Linked DNA regions of Astyanax mexicanus. The protein of the gene in region 3 interacts with the protein of the main gene of each other region in a pairwise test. Links are inferred from orthologs where the notes say so. Each region holds a gene or a part of one and is shown on either strand. Other genes may lie near its edges.

Region 1 (7,980 bases), on a different chromosome or scaffold from region 3:
GTAAATAAAAAATCTGATATGCACAGATATTATAAACATAGTAGTAGTTGCCAGTAGCACACGGTTAATTTGCTAGTGTTAAATTAATACTGTTCGTGTTAGATTAACACTGTGGTTCTTACAATTTAACACCCGCAGTGTGAAATGAACATAAACGCTGTTAATTTAACACCCTTTAAAAGCTAAGGTCCTTCACTTTGAACTCATGAAGTTTCTAAGCGACATATAGCTACTGAACATCCTGACAGCATCACTACAGGGCAGTGTGTTAATGTGCGTTCATTTATCTGACCTTATTTAGTTAGCTACAAAATGTAGGTGTGCCTGGTTAGTATTTGAGATAAAAGTAGCTCTCTTTTTTTAAAGTGTACTTTTTATTGTTACTGATCTGTTCTAAACATTTAACAATACAAATGTTTTAAATGAATGTTAGTTTTATGTTTCGTATAACTAGTTCTGATATGCTTGCTAGAACAAAATGTTAAAATAAAAAGTTATGAAAATGCTGTTAAGTGTAATTTGTGCAACATCAAGGTTTTAAGCTTAAAATATTAACAGTCATGTTATGTGGCCACCATAAGAAAAAACATGAATGAGCTGCTCACTGAATTTATCTGATTTAATTTTGAATTTGGCATCAATATTCAGAAATGGGTCTGGGCTCTTATTGGTTAATTATGATAAGAGCTGAAATCAACAATAATAGTGTTAATACCATTAATTAGTCACTTGATTTGTTGCTCGTGCTAGTGAGTCTAGACGTCATTAGTGAGTGGGACTGTAGATTATAAACAGTGTTTCAGCCTGTGGGCTTTTGAAACCCCCCGGTGTGCTGGCTCAGCACTAAAGACCCTCAATCCTTCAGTATCTCAGCGCTTAATCAAACACACGGGCTGGCCTGCAGCATGACGTCATGCTCTGTTGCAGAGCGCGTGTTTTTACTGAAAAAAAAACAAAGAAATTTACAAACGCGATAAGATAACTATACTGTAGAGCGAGCGAGATTCAAAGCGACGCAGATCTAAACGCAGTGGGACAGACAGGAAGACATGCATGCATGCAGACAAACAGACAGACAGACAGTGGGTTGCTAGACTGCTGGCTGTCAGCTCGCGCTGTGTCTGCCCCTCCTGCGGGACAGAGCAGCAAAACCCGGGGGGTCTTTCATATCAAAGGCGGCACGAGCACACAGTGAAGGCAAGGAAGCATGTGCACGCGCGGCGCGGATCAATGAATGGGTACAGGTCCCAGAGAACCCGCGCGCACCAGTTGCATGTGCCTGCACGGAACACCACAATATGCAGCAGCAGCGGCAGAAGCGTGCATGCAGCTGCTGTCACCACGCGCGCGCAGGAAAAGAGCAAGAGCGCGAGCCCGGCCGACCGGGACAGACACAAACAAACAAGCACGCGAGTGAGCGTGCTCATATTGGTGCAACATGGGCTAGGTGGCTTTCATGTGGGCATGGGCTAGAAATAAGTTTGTAGCAGCACGTGTTTTGGGCTACTTTGTTCCCAAATGGGCCATATCACACAGTCCGACCACCTTAGTGTCATATGGGTCTCATCCACGCTCCATGTGCATGCAACCCAATGTACAACCCAGATTAAGCCCACGTTTAACCAACCCCTACAGGTCCCATCACTGACATCCACATCCAATGTTCATGAGCCAGTATGAAAAAAAAAAGCCTACGAACAAAACTTGCCGGGTCCATTAAGCTACCCATACAGACCACCACATATGCATGTTAACTATCTGGGCACCGGTTCTCTGACGAGGGCAGCAGCAAGAACTTCAGTGACATAAACTTCAAAACAACAAAGCAAAGTTTAGCCAGCTGGCACATGACCGACCTTCAAAGTTGAAATAGTTAAAATAATGTCAGCTGTATCAACTTGTTATTAGTGGAATGTTTTTGTCGTATCAATATGATCATTATTATGTTTTTAACATCTTATTGTTATATTTTGACTGTATGACTTAATAGAAAGAAAATATCTACATTCAAGAGTTTTAAAAAATAGAGAACATGTTTAAAATAATTTCTATGAAAAGGTTAATAAGTGACATAAATCAATGTTGAAATTTTAACTTGGAACATCACTCAACGTGATGTATGTATCTTGTAAATATGATCATTATTATGACTGTATCACCACTTTATTACATTTTGATCACAAGATAAAATATTTAAACTCCAACTAGAAAGTAAATAAAGTGTGTGAACAAACTTGTCAACGTTTTTTTTTACTTGTTCTGCTTCCATCTGAGGAACCTTTTCATCAACATGCACAGTTTTTCATGGTGTTCATTGTTCTGTACATACAGAACTACTGTTTTTAGTAAACCTTCTATCGAACCACCATACTTTTGGAAAGAATAGGGAAAGTTTTTTTTGGCTAGAGTTTAGTTAATGTTTAAAAAAAAAGATAAGATGTCAAAACAATGTTTCAGCACCAACACTGATTTATGTTTCAGAATCAAAACGGTGATATGAACTTAATATGACGCTGACGTTTATTCAACGTTGATAAACGCAGAAATGCCGGTTGGAGATCACGGCACGAGCTCCTGCTGTTTCTGCTGTTGCTCCTCATGCAAACAAACACGCGCGAGCGAACACAAACCTGTTACTTGCAGCTAAACTTCACAAAGGAACGTTTTCAAACGTTCAAAAAACTCGGAGCACCAAACGACAACGTCAGGGAAAAAAACATCCCCGGGACGCATCAAAGCACAAAAGCAACTTGTCACCCGCGCTCGAGCTCCAGAGCACGGACGGCCATCATCACCGCCAACGGCACGAGCTCAAGTTCACGCAGCCCGCGAGCGTGCGTTTGTTTTTTCTCTTCTTTTCTTTCCCCTCTTTCTTTCTCTCTTTCTCTCTGTTTCTCCTGCAGCAGAAAAGTCTACACACAGTTCACAGCAGCAGCCTGGAGACTTACCACAGCAGCGCGGAGAAGATGCAGCGCCTTTCTGAAGGAACCACGCTGGACTGAGGAGAGATTACAATACGAGCTATTTACAGAAGCATTACATCACCCTCCGGTGACGTCACGTGGGATTCCTGAACTTCTAAATCATTGCGGTCCGCGAGGAGGGGCTTCGTGGAAACGGGGCGGGGGTTGAGGGATGTGGGCGGGGTCGAGGAGGAGCCGCAACACTCACAGCTCACAGCTGGCTGAGTTCAGGCTGGAGATAGTAGGATACTTCTTGCAGGACATTGAGTTTTAAAGTACTTTAAAGTGAAAAATAGACGACTCATATCACTTACGGATCAAACAATTAATTAAATGATAAAAAATAAAGAAAGAATAATAATTATAATAAAATGTCTTAATGCAAATACTGCAAACATTTTTACATTAAAAAAAACATTAAAGTTTGTATTATTGTCATTAGGACCTGTACTGTCTGTAATGGGTGTTAGCACTTTTTACTCAAGTTTAACTGGACTCCAAAATGCTCCAAGTGTCACCTTCTCGTCTGGTTTTGCGTCTCTCTGGTTTATTTACCCTCCTCTGCACATGCCCTGTCTTTATTCTGTGTCTCCGCCCCTGTTGCTCACATGTTCATTTTTCGTTTTTTAGCTCTGCCCCCTTGTTACCCGGTCCCAGGTGTTTTTTATTTGTATTTTTTGTCCATTTGCATTTATAGTCTCCCTTGTCCCAGTGTTATTTGTCTTTGGTTGTACATCTAATGTCATTCAGGTTTCGTGGTCCTATGTTATCTATGTGATCAGTGTTTCCTTTAGTTTCTGTTTTTTTATTTCTTTATTCCTTTGATTTTAATAAATACTTGCATGTCTCATTCCTGCTCCCAACCGTGACACCAAATTATCAAGTGATTTAAACCAGAGCAAAATAATATAATCATAGCATAAAAAGTGAGAAAATTTGTGTTTGGTAGATTATTTCATTGGAAAGCATGTTAATTTCATGCATGTTAGTCTCTACTTGGGATGCAAACTTTTCTGTCTGTCCCTGAAACCCCTTATTATATGGAACCTGGCCTTCAGTTTGAAAATGCTACCAGGGATCACTTCAAATAATGCTGCAACTTGTTTTTGCGGAACACCAGTTTGAAGTTGAAGCCCTATTGCACTGGTCCTATCCACATCTGTCAAACGTAGCAAGCTGATTCTTGGAGCAGATACCTACTGACCACTATAGCAGTGCCCAGGCTCACTGGTGCTGCCAATAAGGTGCCAATCAGGCTGTACCAGAAGCTCAAAATAAGTGTCAAAAGCAACAGCAATATAAGCTGTTTGGCAATGGCAGAGAAGATTTGGCAAATTTTTCTTAATCTCAAACCCACATACTCAGCTCTGCTGTTCATCTCACAAATGCATGTTTCTTACAAATGTGGCAGCATTTAAATTTATAATTAACAGTATTTTCAATGATATGGAAGAAGCATAAGAAGCATTGTTACAACAAAGAAATAATCTAACAAACACAAATTTCCTTAATTTTGTGCTATGTTTTATTATAAACTTATGTACAGTACAAGTCAAAAGTTTCCACACCTTCTTATTCAATGTTTTTTTTCCTACATTGTAAATTAATATTAAACTCATCCATACTATGAAGGAACACATAATGAACCATGTAGCAAACTTAATGTGTTAAACAAAACCAAATACTCTGTGAAGCTTTTATGTGGCCTCCTCAAGTAGTTATTTAAATTACCTAAAGAGTTAATATAATTAACCCTTGACAAAGCACAGCTGTTACCTGAAAGCCATTCCAGGTGACAACCTCATAAACCTGACTGAGAAAATATCAAGATGTGCAAAGTTGTCATCTAAGCAAGAGATGCCTATTATTAACTGGTTAGTACCGGCACATTTTGAGCACTAATCAAAAAAAAAATTGAAAGACATAGCAAATTAATACAATAGTCATACACCTCCAACTGCATTCCTGTTAAAGCACATATTTCTGTCACTGGAACTCTAAACCATGTAGTAATGAGATAAGTATTTAATAAAATATATAAGTATATAATACATTTGATTTACAATATTATAATAGATAATTATATTCCAGTACTGTCTTAGTCTGATTACAGATGAATAAATGGATTTTATTGCTGTACCTTTCTAGGGGAGGGATATATTAGGTAGTTGTGTTAGAAGCAGGGCAATCATAAGGATCATCATAATGATCTGAGCCACTGTGCATTTATTGTGATGGCTACAAAACTTGGTTAGAGCATCTCCAAAACACCAGGCAGGTCTTGTGGGCTGATCCCTGTATGCAGTGTTCACACTACCCAAAAAAAGTGACAAACACATACTAAGTAGTGGTTTTAATATTATGGCTAACTGGTTTGTTTGTGTAGTTAACTACTGTAGTTGTTATAATGTCCTATCAATTTAATGGGCTGGGAACAAATTCACCAAAAAGCCAGTTCTTTGATTCCAGGCATTTGGGAATCGACATTCAACTCTAGAGCTTTAAACACGATTCCACCAAGAGAGCTGTACTCACACACAGAGCCGTTTTCACTGCCACTGTCTAGACAGCCTGTCTGAAAACGCGTCCTTCCACAACACACATATCAATAAATTGGCTATATTTAACCTTGGGCAGAGCATAAAAGTACAACAGTGGCTAACAATATAATGTCACAAGTGCTGAAACGTTTACTCTTCTAAAGGAACTGACAGAAGTATTAGACGCAGTCTAGCCACAATGGTCTGCAAATATTTGGACTCCCCATGGTCAAAATTCGAGTTACTGGAAATAATTCAGTGACATAAAGGTGAGCTGATCTCCAAATAGCATAAAGATTGCGAAGAAATATTCTTCTTGACATTTTTAATAAGATTTGTTCATTACTTTTATTATAAGAAAGGAGCACCATGTGGGTTAACTTGTTAAGAGTGGTGGTTTATACACAATAACTGTTGGAAATATGACAATGATGGAAATATGATGATGGAAATATGTACACAAAACTAGAAAAGGATTATAAATATATAAAAACACCAAAAAGTACAAGTATGGAAGAGCAAGAAAACTTTCAAAGAGAACTACATAACTGACATGAACTGTGATTCTTTCCTATGTCTTGATTTTTTTAATTGAAAAACTTTTTTGGGATTGACTGTCAGAACAAAAAGTAGATGCTGCGAGATTTATAAATTCTAACCCATGTGTTGCCATGCACAACTTTTAGTCCTTCTATTGATGATCAAGTTCTGACCACAAGAACAAGAGAAAAAAAAATAGGGTTTAGGTCATTTAGGATCATTGCTCTACTTGTAGAAAACATCATCTTTTTATCTGTAAGGAGGACCACTGTTATAGTGTGTTATGCAGCAATAGTACTAGAATTACTTTAAATGATGCTGTCTCCAGTTTATCTGACACACACACACACACACACACACACACACACACACACACACACACACTGGTACACTCTTGCACTTGGGGCATTTTTGGTTTCATCCCCTGGTCAGCAGGCCAGCGTGACTAATTGTGCCAGGCTCACCAGTGTCTCAGTTCATACTAAATAATGGAAGTGCCAGTGGGTAAATAAATTATTGGCAGGATTATGTCTGCCCGCAAGTGTTGGATTTAGAAGATGGTGTTACAGAATCAAAGCTGTGACTTCTTTGCCCTGAGATAATTTCCAAGCAGACGTAATATGATGCAGGTAACATCGTAACACAGTCGTACCACACGGTACCTTATTTATGAAAAGGAAGTGCTTTATCATACCTTTAAAAACATGTGTTCTCTGTTTAAAGGTAAGAATACCCAATAATAATGTTTATTAATCACTATACACTGCACTATACATACAGTGTACACATCTACGTTATTAGACAAATTATGACAGTTACACTTTTAAAATAATTAATAAACATTTAATCACAGAACTATACCACATCTAATTTACCTGTTGTATATGTTAAATATATTATGTGCTGAGCTGAAGATGTATGAAGATAATCTGTGCTAATTAAAATACAATATATAACAATAAATAAATATGAATAGAGCACGCACCTGAAGCTGACAGTAGAACCAATGTTAATAAATAAAATAATGATACATTTCTTACCTTATTCATATTACACAAAGGTCTAAATACCCATAGTGTAGAGAGGTAAAGTAATATGGCAAGTTTTGATACTGATCTTCAAGGTCACCGCAATAGTGATACTGCTGTAACTTGATAATGTAAAAAACAGTCTGTAGCTCTTTTTAACTGGCACAGGTTTGCTTTGCACAAGGTTAAAGAAAGGATATCACTGTTACCGTGGAATAAAAAAGGCAAAATCTTCACCCTTCACCATTCAACAGTGGATTCAGGGTCCTGCTTAAATGCATTGAGAACGTTAACTATGAACAGTTCTAATAAAATTGCACATTTACAGTTTTTATCTTACTTTTATTTTGTCTGTTCAGCTTCATTTTATTTGTTAATATACACCCCTTCCTGCTCTTTAGGCCTGAAACACACTCCAAAAAAAGTTGGAACCGGAGAAATTGGGGTATAGTAAAGAAGAAAAACTAACTAATTATGTGGTTTCAATCAGGTGATGTAAACAGGAGATTATAATCAAGATTTAGTAGGAAAGCAGTATCCACAAAGAGCTGTTTGCTCTTTGAGGAGCAAATATAGGCAAAGGATCTCCAAATTGTAACAAATGCATAAAAAGAGTATTGAAATGTTTAAAAACAACATTTCCCTAGACATACTGGAAGAGATCTGAAGATTTCTTCCTCTGCAGTGCATAATACCATTGCATGATTCAATCAATCATGAGAAATTTCAATGTGTAAAGGGCAAGGGCACAAGTCTATACTGAATCTAACTGAGCTTTGATCCCTCAGATGGCACTGCATCCAGAATTGTAAATGAACAACAATAGTCATGCAATGTCAAGGTATTGCTTAGACAACTCGTTGTGAAGCAATACAATACAGAGTTACATGTTCCCAAAAGGCACTTTAA
Region 2 (7,422 bases), on a different chromosome or scaffold from region 3:
ATAGGATGGCCCTCCTTCTCCCCCACAGGACCAGGGTTTCAGTGTTATGTTAGCCAACATGGTGTTAATTACCTAACATTTAATAGGCCATGCCAGCCTTCACCATCCCGACTTGACACAATTGTGTGTTAAAGTTGAGAACAAGATAGTGGGTGGAATTGGAGATCAGGACGAATTCACTAACCCTGGGTTTCACTCATTCCTGTTACCGTAAAACATTACCCCTTCTAAAACATTTAGAACATTCTACAAGTCACATCTACAACAGGAAATTACATCAGTTGGTTCTTTTGAAGGGCATAATTAAGTTTTCATTTATTCTGCTGTATATTTGATCGTTTTGTAACAATGACTTAGACGGGCAATCTCAACACTTGAACATCCGGTCAACTTAAAAAAAAAAAAAAAAAAATTGTATTTTATTTTAAAACATACTTTTTTTTCCCCCATTTTCTCCCCAGGAGGGTGAAGATTAACACATGCTTCCTCCGATACATGTGAAGTCAGCCACCGCTTCTCTTCGAGCTGCTGCTGATGCAGCATTGCCAAGCAGCCAGCGCGATTGGAGGAAAGCGCAGTGACTCGGTTCTGATACATCAGCTCACAGACGCCCTGTGCTGTGGAGATCACCGTAGGAGTGATGTGGGGAGAGAGCGCCATCTACCCAGCCGGAGGGAGCAGGGCCAATTGTGCTCCCTCTGAGCGCCGGCAGCTTGATGGTAAAGCTGCATGAGCTGGGGTTCGAACCTGCGACCTACCGCTCATAGTGGCAGCGCTTTAGACCACTGGACCACTCGGCGCTTAAACATAATTTTAAAATGTCACATGAGTTTGAAACCATCTTCACCTCAGAAACCTTGTAAACAATTAAGTAAAGCTGTCTGAGATTGACCAGCACATGTTTTGAATAGTTAAATATGTGCTATTAGATTCAGAGTTGAAAAAAAGATAAAAAAAAATAAGTTTCATTTGGAAGAGCAAGAGTTACAACAACAAATGGCCCATTAATGAATTCCCTAGTTTTAAGCTGTGGAGCAGTGTTTGAAATGTGTTATCTGGAATGATGGTGCTCCACTCATTACTTTTGGGAAAAAGCTTGGGAGTTGGGTGTGAATGAGATGTGGTGGTGATCATTCATCCAACATCCTGCTTTCGAAACTGAATGCAATAAAATCCTCATAGCAATGTTAGCTAGTTACTTCAACAGAAGCAGAATTCATGATGAACAAGCAGGTGTCCCAACACTTTTGCCAACATAGTATTTCAACATGCATGTCACATATAAACTGATACTGATTCTCAGTGCCACCTCTAAATATAATATCTCTAAATATAAACAAGCATGCAGAAGGTCACCATTAGTGTGTGGGGCTCTAGCCTTATATTTTCAGTTGAGAAAGTCCCCTGCTTCTGGAGAATCAAAACTGAAAGCAAGTTTATCCCAAGTAGTAATTCTAACACTAGATTATATTAAAACATAGACACATACATTAGACATGAAAACAATGTCCTAAAACACATCACACCTACAGTACAGTATATATTTACATGTATATCAAAACGGATAATATTGTTATACACCTTACACTGGAGTCTACTGGAAAAACATGCCTTCAATATGCACCTGTGTGTCTTTATGAGACACGTCATACATTAACCAGACCTCGAGCCATCTTCAGCTTACCTGAAGCTAACACTGCGAGGAAAAGACCACCAAACACAACACTCATGATAAACACGACCACCTGGACACCTCCAGCGCGAACAAACCGCCATGCAAATTAACAAAGTAACTACTGCACTGATCTGCTTTCACTTTCAATTCAGCGCTGCTCCCAGTCCCTCCCACACCTACACCCACCCCTCTGATCTACAGGGGCTTCAGGAAGATCTGACCAACAGACAGACTCACTTATTCACTCAATCATTTATTCATTAATTCATACTAATCTATCATATCAAACTGACAGAGGAATATACATGTGTATGAAATTAATGTGGACAAATGACACACGTACATGTACAGTAGTCTGGCCACGTGAGGGCGCCAGTTATAAACTTCCGACAGATTTCTCTATCATCTCTGCTCTCATTGGTCTGGGAAGCTTATGCTTACCTACCAGAGACAGGGTTGCCAGGTCCAATAAAAATATCCATCCCAAAGTCAGTCTAAAACCCGCCCTTCAGAATCTTAAACTAGCTTTGTCACACGTTTGAAGCAAATGACAAAACAACTATGAGTGCACGACTTAGTATTTTGTTTATACGGGATTTATTATCAGTAGTGCTATTTATCTTGAAGTCATTAACAATATTGTAACATCATTGATGTTTTATCAGTTATTTTATAACAGTTTTATATCCCAGTCAAGAACATTTAATAGTAACATAATTAGCTAAAAAAAAGAAAGAACTGACTTTTCCTTTTTTCTGTTTTTGCCCTTCCTGAAAACTCTTTTTTCCTCTTTAACATTTTTTTAAATCGCCTTGTAATTTCTGGTTACATGGAGATTTTTTTGTTTGTTTTTTGGCGGCCGCGGTAATTTTTAAAAGTAGCCCGAAAAATGTTTTACCCGCGACTGGATTTATAAACAAGCCCAATTTGTCGGGAAAACCACGAACCTGGCAACTCTAACCAGAGAATCTTTAGTAGAGAGGAGAGATTACGCACTTCTGAATGTTGTCTGGGTTTGTTGAACCACCAGGGGGCGTTCCAAAGTAAGTCCAAAATGAATGGGTTCCTATGGAGCCACTTCATAAATACACTCCAAATCCACTCCAGTTTTATTAAACAATCATGGAACCACTTTACACAGGGAACCACCGTGTTCTCAGTGTAAAGATGGTGCAGACAGTGTTAGAGTTACTGGGTGAAATGGTATTGTAAATTGTTTATAAGCATAATTACTGTAAATTAAATCCACTCCAGTTTAACTCTGTATTCTGCTGTAAACAACTGTATGAATAAAATTAAAAAACATATATATATATATATATATATATATATATATATATATATATATATATATAATATAAGGCACACTAGTACTGTACGTGTAAGAAGTAAATGCACTTCAACCTGCATAAAGGGGGAAACATTTTCTGAGGTAAAGTTATAGTAGCAAAGTTTATGTAAAATAATACCGCAGACTAACTGCTGTGCCAGGTAATATAGTTTATTTATATTAGCAATAAATCTTTCAAATATTACACATGCATTTACCCAATTTAACAAGGGTAGGGAGACCAGACAATCCCAATACTTTAAATAGCTTTAAATAAACTGTATGGCAAAATTAACTACAACAGCCGAACTTTTGTAATTACAATTTAGGAGAGAAATACAGTAACTGATACAGTAATTGTATTCTTTTAATTAGCATATATATAATTACACAACAACAAGAGTGTGTCTAACAAACTGACATAAGGAAACATTACCTTATAGGATGCCCAACCTTCATATGTTTTTCTCTTAGGTTTAAATCGCTATTTATAAATCTTTTTGACTCAGTGCTCTGACGGTAATTCAGCATCAGCTCTCTAACCAACCAGTCAGTTCACAGTAATGCTAGAGTGTTAACTGCCTAAACCTGTTTACTGAAGAAAAACTGAACAATATAGATAAGTTTTCTTTACTTTTTTTTAATAATGCATCTTTCTACTTTCTACAATTAAATAAATATCTTGAGCAAGTTCTTAATTTCTATTTTTTACTGTATTTTTTTAGCATTTTAGCTTTATTCACCCCCATTAATTTTTGACTCGCTCGCGGGCTGACTCCAGATTTAACAGTCATTTTTTTAAAGTGTGCATGCTCTCTACACAAACCAGCTTCTGCTCCTGCAAGAGCCGGTTTATGGCGAGCATGCCCACTTCCTTTGTAGAAAATGAATGTGAATCGCTAGAGGGAGCCAGTGAGCGAGTCCAAAATGAATAGGGGTGAATGGAGCTAAATGGTTAAAACTTTAGTAAAAAATAGTAATTAGCTATTTTTAACTAACTAGGATATTCATATAATTTAGGTACAACAAAATATGTTGCTAAAAGGGCAAACTAAAATTATCTATATATGTCTGTTGTTCTACACTAAACAGGTTTTGGGGAGTAAACACGCTAGCGTTGATGCTACACTGTGAGCTGACCGGTTGGTTAGAGAGCTGATGCTGGAGATACAGCCAGAACAATGAGTTTAAAGTGTTATAACTAGAGTTTATAAGCTTGAAAATCATGTCTGCACTGCAGAAACATTTAGTATTGTTCTGTTTTAGGGAAAATTAGTACATTTCACAGAAAAAAAATATTAAACATTAATAAACTCTGATTTTGCTCGAACCGGAAGAGATTCTGTAGTGTGTATTCTCGTTTCTAAAGGTTCTCTGCTCCTACGAACAGCTCTCGGTGGGAAACTTCAGTTCTGTCCTCGTGCTGATAAAATAAAACACTCGCTGTAAATAACCGGTTTAATCCTGTTAAACTGTAGGTTAAAATAACCGATATTATCTTCACGAAAACCACGTGACCAAACGGACTAAAGAATAAACACATGGTTCTGTTCGGCTGAATAACAAAATGGACCAAGGTAAATACACCACTGTTTCTGAATGAGTTTCCCTGATTTTGCTATTTATAGGTATATATTTAAGTAAAATGAACATTGTTGTTTTATTATATAAACTACGGACATTTCTCCCAAATTCCAAACATGAATACTGTCACTTAGAGCAATGGTTTGCAGAAAATAAGAAATGGCTGAAATAACAAAAAAGATGCAGAGCTTTCAGATCTCAAATAATGCAAAGAAAACAAGTTCATAATCATACTTGGTGGAATAACCCTGGTTTTTCGGCATGTTCTCCTCCACTAGTCTTACACACTGCTTTTCGATAATTTTATGCCATTCCTGGTGCAAAAATTCACGCAGTTCAGCTTGGTTTGATGGCTTGTGATCATCCATCTTCCTGTTGATTATATTCCAGAGGTTTTTAATTTGGTAAAATCAAAGAAACGCCTCATATGTTGTTCGTGTGAAATCATTACTATATAATAAGCAATAATTGTCAATGTGAAACATGAATCTCAGAAACAGCAGCTGTACAGGAGAGAGACAAAACCTTTTTGACTTTCAAAGGAAGTAAATTGGATAATTTCTGGTGGTACATTCATCAAGAAATGTTGACACATTTAAGACTAAAATATATTTATGTTTGCAGCATTGAAACTGTATTTACATTTTTTACATTTACATTTACTGTGGGTGAGATTGGCACCATTAGAACCAGCCTGTTATTTTGTGTAATCAATACTTTATTTGTTCTAATTGTAGAAGAATTGGCAGCAACTGGTTGTATTATAGATTTAAAAAACAAATGTTGCCTCTTTGTAAATCTGTAAGTTTTAGTGCACTGAATCATTCATGCTTTAAACCAATAAAACTGATGACTGAAAACATAGAATGTACCTAGGTAATCACATAACGTCCTGTTAGATATTGTAAAAATTGCAAATCTGCTGCCTATTTTGGATTGTGAGATGTGCAGTCATGAATGTATCAGAGTACAATATAGAACAGATTCTAATCTACATTAAATTAAATTGAATTTGTTTTGTGTCTTCTTCCTACAGAATCCTGGCTGAGCTGTGAGAAGACTGCTGTCCTGCAGGGTGGGTTTCTGCTGGCTAATCAGTTGTGCCAGCCAGCACCTCTCTCTGCTTTGAGAAAAGAGGACTGGGAGCGAGTTGGGCGGCCAGTAGTTCAAGCAGTCACCGAGATATGTGGACAGCGGTGTGGAGGCAACCAGGACCAGCTTAACTGGAGAAAAAGGATTCTCTGTATAGTATGGAGCAAGATCTTGGAGATGGAGACAGGAGAGGATATTGATGTCCAGTGGAAGGAAAATCCACTGTTTTCTGTTCAAAGCAGCCTACCTGATATAAACCATGTGGTTATGTTTGAGTTGGTGAAATCAGTGGGTTTCTACAGCATTTATGTTGAATTGCTCCAGTGCTTTCAAGAAGCTGAGCAGTGGAGAGAGCTGGAGAGGTTAGCGAAACATGTCTCAAGTGATTGCAAAGAGGAGGATGTGAAGTTCTTGCTGGAGGTGTGGTGGGAGATGATGAAGGGACGGAGGGAATCGCTGGATAATCTGGACCAAATCTTTAGTGCCCAGTGCATACGATTTGGACAGATCACCTCAGACTGCTCATCTCAGGCTTCAAAGCGATTTAAACCAGACCCAGAAGCTGCTGTACCCAACATGTGCATATTTTCTCTTTTGTTTGAGACACTGAACAGCATAAAAGAGTGTATAACCTCTCCTGGACTGTGTTATTTTGGTCTCTCCAACTGCCTAGACATGCTGTATACTTCCTTCATGTTAGATCATGCAGTGGAACTCCCAGTTGAAGTTAAACTGCAAAACATTGCTCGCCCAGTAAGCCAGCGAAGGAAGAATTCTGTCTTGGAGGGAGCTGAACTTGCTCAGGCCATATTTGAAGCCCAGAGAGATCTTGCGGCCACACTAACTCCAGCTCAGAGCAAGCCGTGCGGAATGACCTTTGCACAAGCCATGGAGACGCTACTTGGAATAATATGCTCATGGGAAGCAAAGGCATTGCTGACAATGTCCAACCAACCAAGTGAACCAAGTGTCCTCGCATTCCGTCTCAAAGACAGTCTGCAAAGAGTCCTGGAGGCTTTAGAGCGGATGAAATCTGAAAATCTAGATGAAAATGGACAGGCCTTGATTAATTTGAAAAAGGCTTTGACTGATTTGCTAGCTTCCTCATCTTTTAGCATGTCTGAAAGCCCCTCAACTGAAATAGCAAGTGTTGCTACAGCCATTCTTGACTGTAATCTGCAGGGTTTCCAGGACCTTCCTAAACTCTATGCCTCCAAACTAAGCCAAGCCATCAGTGAGACAGAGTGGTTGAACTGTCTCGAACGAAACAAAAGTGCATTCCAGCAAAAAGACCTGGTTATGACCCTGGTTTCTACTCTTATAGCCAAAAGCCAGGGTGATACTGACGTAAATCAGTCTAAAAAACTGAAAAACATTATTATGGACATTTTCTCCCAGCTTCTGTTGCCTGACAAGAATGCAGCACTTTCTGAAATCCTTAAATTGTCCAAGAAAGGCTTACATGGATTTCTTCCGAGCTCTGTTACAGCAGGCTACGATGGGGAACTCAACCTAGCCTTCAACAGCATCATTCAGGGTGGAGCTCAGGCGAAAAGCAGCCTGAGCTCGGCAGTCTCAGCCGTAGCTCGTGTTGCCTTCCAGAACCCTGAGGCTGCTTTGGGCCGATGTTGCCACATGGCTGTGGTGAACCTTGGGGCTCATACTTTTCTTGCACAGATTCTCCAACAGCTGCCAGGCCTCAGGAGCTCTCAGGAGCAGAATTTGTTATGCAGGTGCCTGC
Region 3 (7,800 bases):
GCGCGAGAGAGAGAGAAAACATTGATGAACTCCAGAGGCTCCCTCACTCGCCCATTCTTTCTCTCTCTCTTTTTCTTTCTCTCCTTCTTTCTCTCTTTCTCTCTTTTTCTCTCTTGCATAATCATTGGGTCTCTCTGCTCCAGAGGAAGCGATCTATCTCTCGTGTGACACGGAGAGAAAAAGTGAGAGAGAGAGAGAGAGAGAGAGGGGAGAGTGGTGGACCTGTGTGTGCTGTTCATATATATATAAATATAAATATATAAGTATATATATATATATATAACTGGCCACTCACACTAAATATTATGTTTTAAGATAAAATATCTGCACCCAGAGGGAAGTTTGCAATTGTAATTCTGTTCAGAAGAAAGATAAAAATTATCAGGATCAATAAATGATTATAAATTTATTCTGATATTTAGGGTAATATTTATTGATCTACACAATATAATAGTATAGTAGTGTTTGTGTAACAGATGTGTAACGCTGCAACATAACAGATGTCTCAGCATGTAGTAGAGAGTTGTAGAGGTTCCTAATGTTCCTCCTGTCATTATCCATCCCATAATAACTCCAGTATATTCTATGCACAGTAGCTGCAAATTGTGGGGTAGGGGTATTATACCATAAATATCAGCCTAAATTTCTAATAATTTATTGATCCTGATCACTTTTATCTTCTTTATATATAATATATGTAATTTTATATTTAAACTGTTAGTTTTAAGTGTAAATTGTTGCAGTTTCTGTTGTTAAAATGCACAGTTCTGCAGAACGGTTCTCGAGTGCAGAGTTGGTTCTGTGGTGTAAAAATAGTTACCTGTAATTACTGGAAATATTTTAGCACACAGGTGGGTGTGTAATCTTTAAAAAAAACTGAAGGCTGTGCTAATTTGTGGTCGGGGCATGGTGCCATGCCACTGCATCTGCGTTCTGATCAGTGGAATAAGACGGCGTGTTCCGCTGAGCTGCAGGCCTGCAGGTCTCTGTGATTAGTCATGTGGCTGACATATTTACCCACAGCAAACTATACAGCATTATTGGTCAAATTATGAAAAGCATTCATGAAATATTTCAGGGTGATTACGCTCATCCAGGACTCTTATTCTGCCTGGAGTTTTGCTTGAGAGCGTAAACAGGTAACAGGTGGAATCTTTATGGGTGTCCAGTGTAGATAAAGGATCGTTCTTCAGTGTCCAAATAAAACCAGAGTCCAAAAATGTTCCTTAAAACTGATCCCAGAGTGGGTTAACATTTTTCAGGGATTAAAAAGCCATATGTTTTGACATTATTGGGACCAAATGTTCTTAAATATGATTGTAGAGACTAAATATCCCTAGATTTTGACATTGTAAGGACTGAATATTTCTAAACTTGACCTTGTAGGGGAATAAATATTCATAAATTTTGATCAGGATTGATGACAATTCCTACATTTTGAAATTTTGGAGACTAACTATCCCTAACTTTAATACAGGCATAATTTGACATTTTGGGGACTAATATTCGAACTTTCTTTTTTACTGTGGTACCGAATATACCTACATTTTAATGTTGTGTGGACTGAATATACCTAAATCTGACTTTGTGGTGATTTAATATTCCTGTATGACATTGTAGGTACTAAAAATCCCTGATTTCAACATTGTGGGGACTGAATATACCTAAACTGAATATTATGAGGACTGGGTATTCTTACATTTCGACACTGTGGGGACTGAATGTGTCTAAACTTAACATTGTGGGGACTGAATATCCTCAGATTTTACAATGTGGGGATCAGATATTTCTACATTCAGCACTGTGGGGGCTAATATTCCATTCCTATAAAGTTGACATTATATGTAATGTATTTAATATGATTATATAAATAAGGATTGCTGCCAACATCTTTTAAAAACACATCATAAAAGATTTTGAACAAATTATAAATATTGATAAATGTTTTGTTCTGTTTTGATTTGTAATTTTTTCTGTATTTTGAGTATTTACTCTTACTGTAAGTATTATTATGTATAAAGATCGTATAATATCTAAGATCCACGAATGATAAATAAATACTCTCTCTCTCTCTGTCTCTCTCTGTCTCTCTCTCTGTCTCTCTCTCTGTTTATCAGATAACTGCAGTGTGTCGTGAAGCTGCACTCTTCGCCCTTCAGGAGGACATTAAAGCCGAGCACATCACCGACCGGCACTTTGACTCCGCCCTGTCTGCTATTAAACCACGAGTCCCAGAATCCCTCATTCAGACCTACATCTCCTACCAGCAGCAGCATCACGGCACCCGGCCCTTCTGCTGACGGGGGGGCCGAGGGGGCCAGCGCCCCCCAGTATAAAGACTCTTCTACCCCCTGTAGGATCTGAACTGATTAACTGATAATAAATGGAGCTTCTTTATTGTCTGTGTTGGTCTGTACCAGCGTCCCACGTCAGCAGATTAAATAAACACCCCCCCCCCCCCCCCTCCTCCTCCCGTCCTGTGCTGTTGTTAAATTGTTTACTCGGAGGAAATGGATCTTGGACCTGCAGAACTCATCCGGCCTCCGATGAATTACGGGCTCCATAAAAAGTTTTATTTGATCACAAATTGGGAGTTTTATAGCCGTGCACTTTTCAGCTTTATTAATTTATTGCCGGCTCTGATCCTGAGAGACACACAAAGCAGAACTTCTCCTCAGAGCATAAATATACAGCTGATTAAAAACAAACACTGTAAAACTAAAACTGAAAAAAGAGCAAAAAAAAAGCTTAAAATAAAAGTATCAGCTAGTGCAATTAGCATAGCATGTGCTGTAATGACAGATTAAACATACAGATATATGTATAATGTATATATATATTTGTCTATATACAGTATAGACAGGACCACCTGGATATATCCAATTTAAGAGAATAGGTAAGAGACTAGTAAGTGAAAGACTATTGGTGTATATAACAACAGGGGTATATGTAGTAGAGGTTTATATAACAGTAGGATTATATATAAAAGTAGAGTTTTATATGACAATAGTTGTATATATAAGAGTATTGGTGTATATAACAATAGAGGTGTATATAACACTAGGGGTATATAAGAATATTGGTGTATATATAACAGTAGGGGTGTATATATAAAAGTAGAAGAGTATATAACAGTAGGTGCATATATATATATATCAGTAGATGTATATATGAGTACTGCTATTTATATAATAGGAGTATATAACAGTAGGTGTATGTCTAAAAGTAGACGTTTATATAAAAGTATATAACAGTAGAGGTGTATATATATAAGTATTTGGTGTATATACAGTAGGGAAATATATAACAGTAGGTGAGTATATACCAGTAGAGGTGTATATACAGTAGGTGTATATATATAAAGGTAGAGGTGTATATCTATATATAACTGCAGGCCTGTACTGGTGGCCCCTCCCCCTCCTGACTCTGTGCTGAACTTCCCCTTTTTCAGCAGGAGCCGGATGTGGCGCATCCGCGCGGTCAGATTGTGGGGCACGGGGGCTCCTCGCGCTTCTTAAGGTGGAGCCGCGCGTGCATGTTTACAATGGGTTTAACCCCCCCTTAACACACATACACACACACACAGCTCACAGCTCGCCTGCAGGATTAACCCCGCGTCCTGATTAGAAACTATCAGAAGAAGTATTGATCAGTGCTGATCAGACAGACTGTATAATTGATTAGTCTAGATAATAGAGATCAGTATTGATCAGTAACGATAGTTCAGTAGTGTCTATAAACTGAATGTAGACGCTGATATTAATCCGTATTGATCAGTGGTGCAGAAGTACACTAGTTATTACTGACATAAACTTATCAGTAGTAGTAATAGAGATCAGTATTGATCAGTAGTAAATATGCATGCTAAAGTGAATGAATAGTGATAAAAAAGATTAGTATTAATCTGAATGGATTCGTTATGATAATATCAGTTATGATCTACAGTTAGTGTTATCAGTACTGATTGTTAGAATTGCCTGTATTTAATAAAAGACACTGGCTATAATTAGTGTTAAAATTCTGACATTTAATCAGCATTCATTAGTTTAAACTAGTTTAAATAGTGGTTGGAGTTCTTCTACACTCACATTAATGCTTTTGGGTAAAAGGTGATTCTCTTAAATACTAAAAATAATGATAATAATAGTAATTAAGTAGGTAAGTATTATATTTATAAGACATTACTATTATTTAATTGTCTAATTCTGCACTGCAGTAACACAGTACTATAATCTATAAGAAACAAGATGTATATTTAATTAAAAAGTGCAGTTAATTATAAAAAGTACATATAAAACCATAGAGTAAAATCAATGTTGAATCAATTTGCACAAATACATCAGTTCTGATGGCAGAGATCAGCATTATGGATGTAAAAATTAACGTTTATTTCAATTTAGTTTAGTTTATTTCGGTTTAACAAAGTTACACACTTATATGCAAAGTGACAATAATAACAGTAATGATATAAAAATAAAAATATTAAGTGCACACCTTGTGAAGCTTTTGCATACATTAATTCAACATAGTTTCCTATGTAGGGCTGATTAATACTGATCAGTATTGATGAACAGTTTGTTAATCAGTGGTTTGATCAGTGATCTGCAGGGTGTAAAAGATCAGCCGCTCCGCTGCACGTTATTAACGCCGGTCCACCTTAAACCCCGCCCCGCCTCGCCCCGCCCGCAGCCCGTGGCCAATCGGCGCGGAGCGGATGCGCCGTGTCCGGTTTCAGAGCGCGAGGCGGAGCTGCGCTCCCATTCATTACCGCGGAGCGGAGAGAGCGCGAGCGATCTTTCACGCGCGCAGGAGAAGAGAAAACAGCGAAAACGCGAAAACACCAAAACACGAAGCGTAGCTACGAAAAAAAAGTTACCGTGCGAAACGGACGGACTACAACCCGCAGTACCCGGATTTACGCGTGACGTTCAGCTGCGAGGCTCATACGGAGCGCGAGAGGACATACGAGGGATTTCTGTTGTATTTTTTTTGGTTTTATTAATTCATTTTTACATTTTTTTTATTTTTTAACGTCTGCGCGCTCGTGCTTGGACTAAAACTGGGATTTCCTTGCGGCTGTGCAGCGCGTGCTAAAGGACACTATCACTGCAATTATTATTGTTGTTGTTATTTTTATTAATATTTATTTTAACGATAATATTTGCGAATATATCTATATATACATATTTTTGAACGCTACTATCATCAGTTTTCCTGGATTTAACGTCATTTCCCTGGATCACACCGAAAAGACTGGACTTGGAGTACCGCGAGCCCCTGTTTTTGTATATGGATGTATAGTGTCCAGACACACAGCGCGCGCGCCGTGAGATTTCCTGCGTGATTCTGGGAGACGCACGCGAGCCGCACTGGCTGATGGCGTCAGAGCTGCGGAGGAGCGCGTGTAGGTGCGTAGCTGCTGCTCGTGCTTCACTATTTTAACTACTAACTAAGTAACTAGCTAACTAACACGTCCCTTGTAGGGTCTTTTTTAGACCGTGCGTGCGCGTGCATGCACGCGCGTGCCCTGTTTACGCATTTCTAGGGAGGAAAGAGAGAAGGGGAAGGGGGGGTTTGTTACTGGGTTGCTTCAGTTGCTGTAGTTGCACCGAAAAAATAATAAAAGGCGCAACGCAACAACGTCTGTGCGCAAACTGAATCTGAATCTCAGCTCACAGACGCTCGTGCGTGCGTAGCCTCGAGCTTGCAATGCACAATGCATGTGCACTCGAATACACACTATACTATACTCCCTCCCGTCGCTGCTTATAACGCAGAACTGTCCGAAAACAAGGGAAAAATGTTTTTAGCAATTCGTTATTCGTTAAAAGTAGTGTGCACTAGAAAGAGTAACGTTAGTGTGTATTCTGTGTAGTGCACATGCATGCACGCGATCTCGAGGGCTCGAGGCTAGGTTGACTAGAGCCTACAGAGTTCTGTTACCCCCCCTCTACTACCCCTCCTCGCGCGGTAACTACCAAATACCCACCCCTCCCCCCACAGGGCTTGTTTTCATTCATAAGTTACCCCCCCTCCTCCCCTCGCTTCCTCTTGGACTCGTCCTCGACCTGCAGTGGCGGGGGGGGGGGGGGGGGGGTGCGTAAGTTAAGTTTTAAGTTTTGCGTAAGTTAAGTTGCATTGTGTGTGTTTTTTTCTTTCATTTGCGCTTTTTAAAAGGTGCAAAAATTGTGCGAAGTGTTAATTCTGGATATGGAGAGAAGTGTTTTGGCTTGTTTAAGCATGTTTTTTTAGTTTAGTGCTTTGAAGTTTTGCTTTAACTAAATATCTATTGGCAAAAACGTGATAAATAATAGTCTTTTGTTGTAAAATAGAGTTACTAATGTGTTATTAATGTGCATGAACAGCCTGCTGCTGAAGATTGTATATATTGGTATATATTGCGCTTCCCAACATAGCTGACAATGTGTAAATTACTTTTATTATCAATGTAATATATTTAGGGAAAAGCCATAGTCTGAGCAAAAAAGTTAGTCAAAGTCAGCAAGACAATAATATAAGAGGATTTTATTTATTTTAGAGTTTAGTCCAGTTTGTCCCATGGATTAACCCAGTTTGCTTTAGTTTGCTTCTAATCAGATTTGCAGAAGTGTCTATTAATGTACAAAATATTCTCAGTTTATCAAAAAAATGTTTATCAAAGTAGGTGGATTTATCCCATGTTGATCTTTAAATCTCCAAACAGCAACGGTTTTTACAGCCAGAAAAAGTTTCTTATAATTCGATTTGTTTTCATTGATGTAAAAATCAGTGGCAGATTTACATAGCCTAAATAAAATGCAGAATGTCAAATATGGAGATACGGGGGTTTTGCATGACAGTAGAGACACAAAGGTATAGAAGGTATAGAAGAGGTTAAGCTGGTGAATAGGTGCGAGTCGGGAATCGAGAAGTGTGAACGACTGTAGGAAACCATCCATTTGATTCACACCTGAAGAGTCTAACACCTAATGGCTCAGAGGCTTAATCTTAGTCTCTCAGACGGTCACAGTCTTTCATAGACTTTGATCAATCTAGAGCTGTGAAATTCTGCTGTTAACTTACATCTTATTGTTCTGTAATTTAATGTAACATTAAATCAATTAATTCTTTAAGGTCATAAACCAGTGTTGATTTTCTTAAACTGTATAGACTTTTCAGCTTTTCTGCTTTTTTTTATAAACTTTGGAACTTTGGAGCTTTTGTACTCATCTCTCTCCCTTTTTCTTTCTTTCTCTCCCTCTCTTTTCCCGACAGGTCGTCCGATGAGACTAGAGTCCGTGCTTGCGCAGGGAGTCGCTGATCAGGTCAGATGGATCGTCGCGGTCACCGCGGAGTCGCCGGATCAGTGGCGGTGATCCGGGAGCCGCCGGCGCCCGGGGAACGTCTGGACCTGGACCTTCCAGCCGGGGCCATCCTCTCCTTGGAGCAGATCCGAGCCATCCGCTCGTCTAACGAGTACACAGAGGGTCCCGCAGTGGCGGCACGCCGGCCTCCCGCCCCGGCACCCCGTGTCAGTGACAAACACGAGAGGACTCACGAGGTTATCCTCGTCAATGTGAACAACAACTACGAGGCGCGGCCCGTAGCCACCAGGCCGCCCACCCTTAGCCGCTCCACCAGCATGGGTAGCGCTGGGAGTTCCGGCAGTAGCGGAAGTGCGTCTTCGGAGCAGGGCTTGCTGGCACAGTCTCCGCAATCGCGCCACCACCAACACCATCATCACCTTCACCATCATCACCACCACCACCATCAACAACAACATCAACAGCAGCAGCAGCAGCATCATCACAGCAGGTCGGA

Evidence for each region.
Region 1: the proteins of spry1 (region 3) and creb5b interact in binary tests that used the Homo sapiens proteins (3 or more experiments, as listed by UniProt). The two-hybrid records come from large-scale screens. The link is inferred for Astyanax mexicanus from reciprocal best matches to the Homo sapiens genes SPRY1 and CREB5.
Region 2: the proteins of spry1 (region 3) and gemin4 interact in binary tests that used the Homo sapiens proteins (3 or more experiments, as listed by UniProt). The link is inferred for Astyanax mexicanus from reciprocal best matches to the Homo sapiens genes SPRY1 and GEMIN4.

Annotation. Positions count from the first base shown.
Region 1 is NC_064413.1:42,689,168-42,697,147, reverse strand, and holds the start of creb5b (cyclic AMP-responsive element-binding protein 5), read right to left. Parts: upstream 3,022-7,980; 5' UTR 2,949-3,021; intron 1-2,948. UniProt on the Homo sapiens protein: Binds to the cAMP response element and activates transcription.
Region 2 is NC_064425.1:16,115,013-16,122,434, forward strand, and holds the start of gemin4 (gem-associated protein 4), read left to right. Parts: upstream 1-4,367; 5' UTR 4,368-4,572; coding exon 4,573-4,582; intron 4,583-5,625; coding exon 5,626-7,422. Other genes in the region: dhrs13b.2 (tapasin-related protein), read right to left, coding at 1,685-1,730. UniProt on the Homo sapiens protein: The SMN complex catalyzes the assembly of small nuclear ribonucleoproteins (snRNPs), the building blocks of the spliceosome, and thereby plays an important role in the splicing of cellular pre-mRNAs.
Region 3 is NC_064426.1:1,107,170-1,114,969, reverse strand, and holds the start of spry1 (protein sprouty homolog 1), read left to right. Parts: upstream 1-4,751; 5' UTR 4,752-5,408; intron 5,409-7,254; 5' UTR 7,255-7,309; coding exon 7,310-7,800. UniProt on the Homo sapiens protein: Inhibits fibroblast growth factor (FGF)-induced retinal lens fiber differentiation, probably by inhibiting FGF-mediated phosphorylation of ERK1/2. Inhibits TGFB-induced epithelial-to-mesenchymal transition in lens epithelial cells.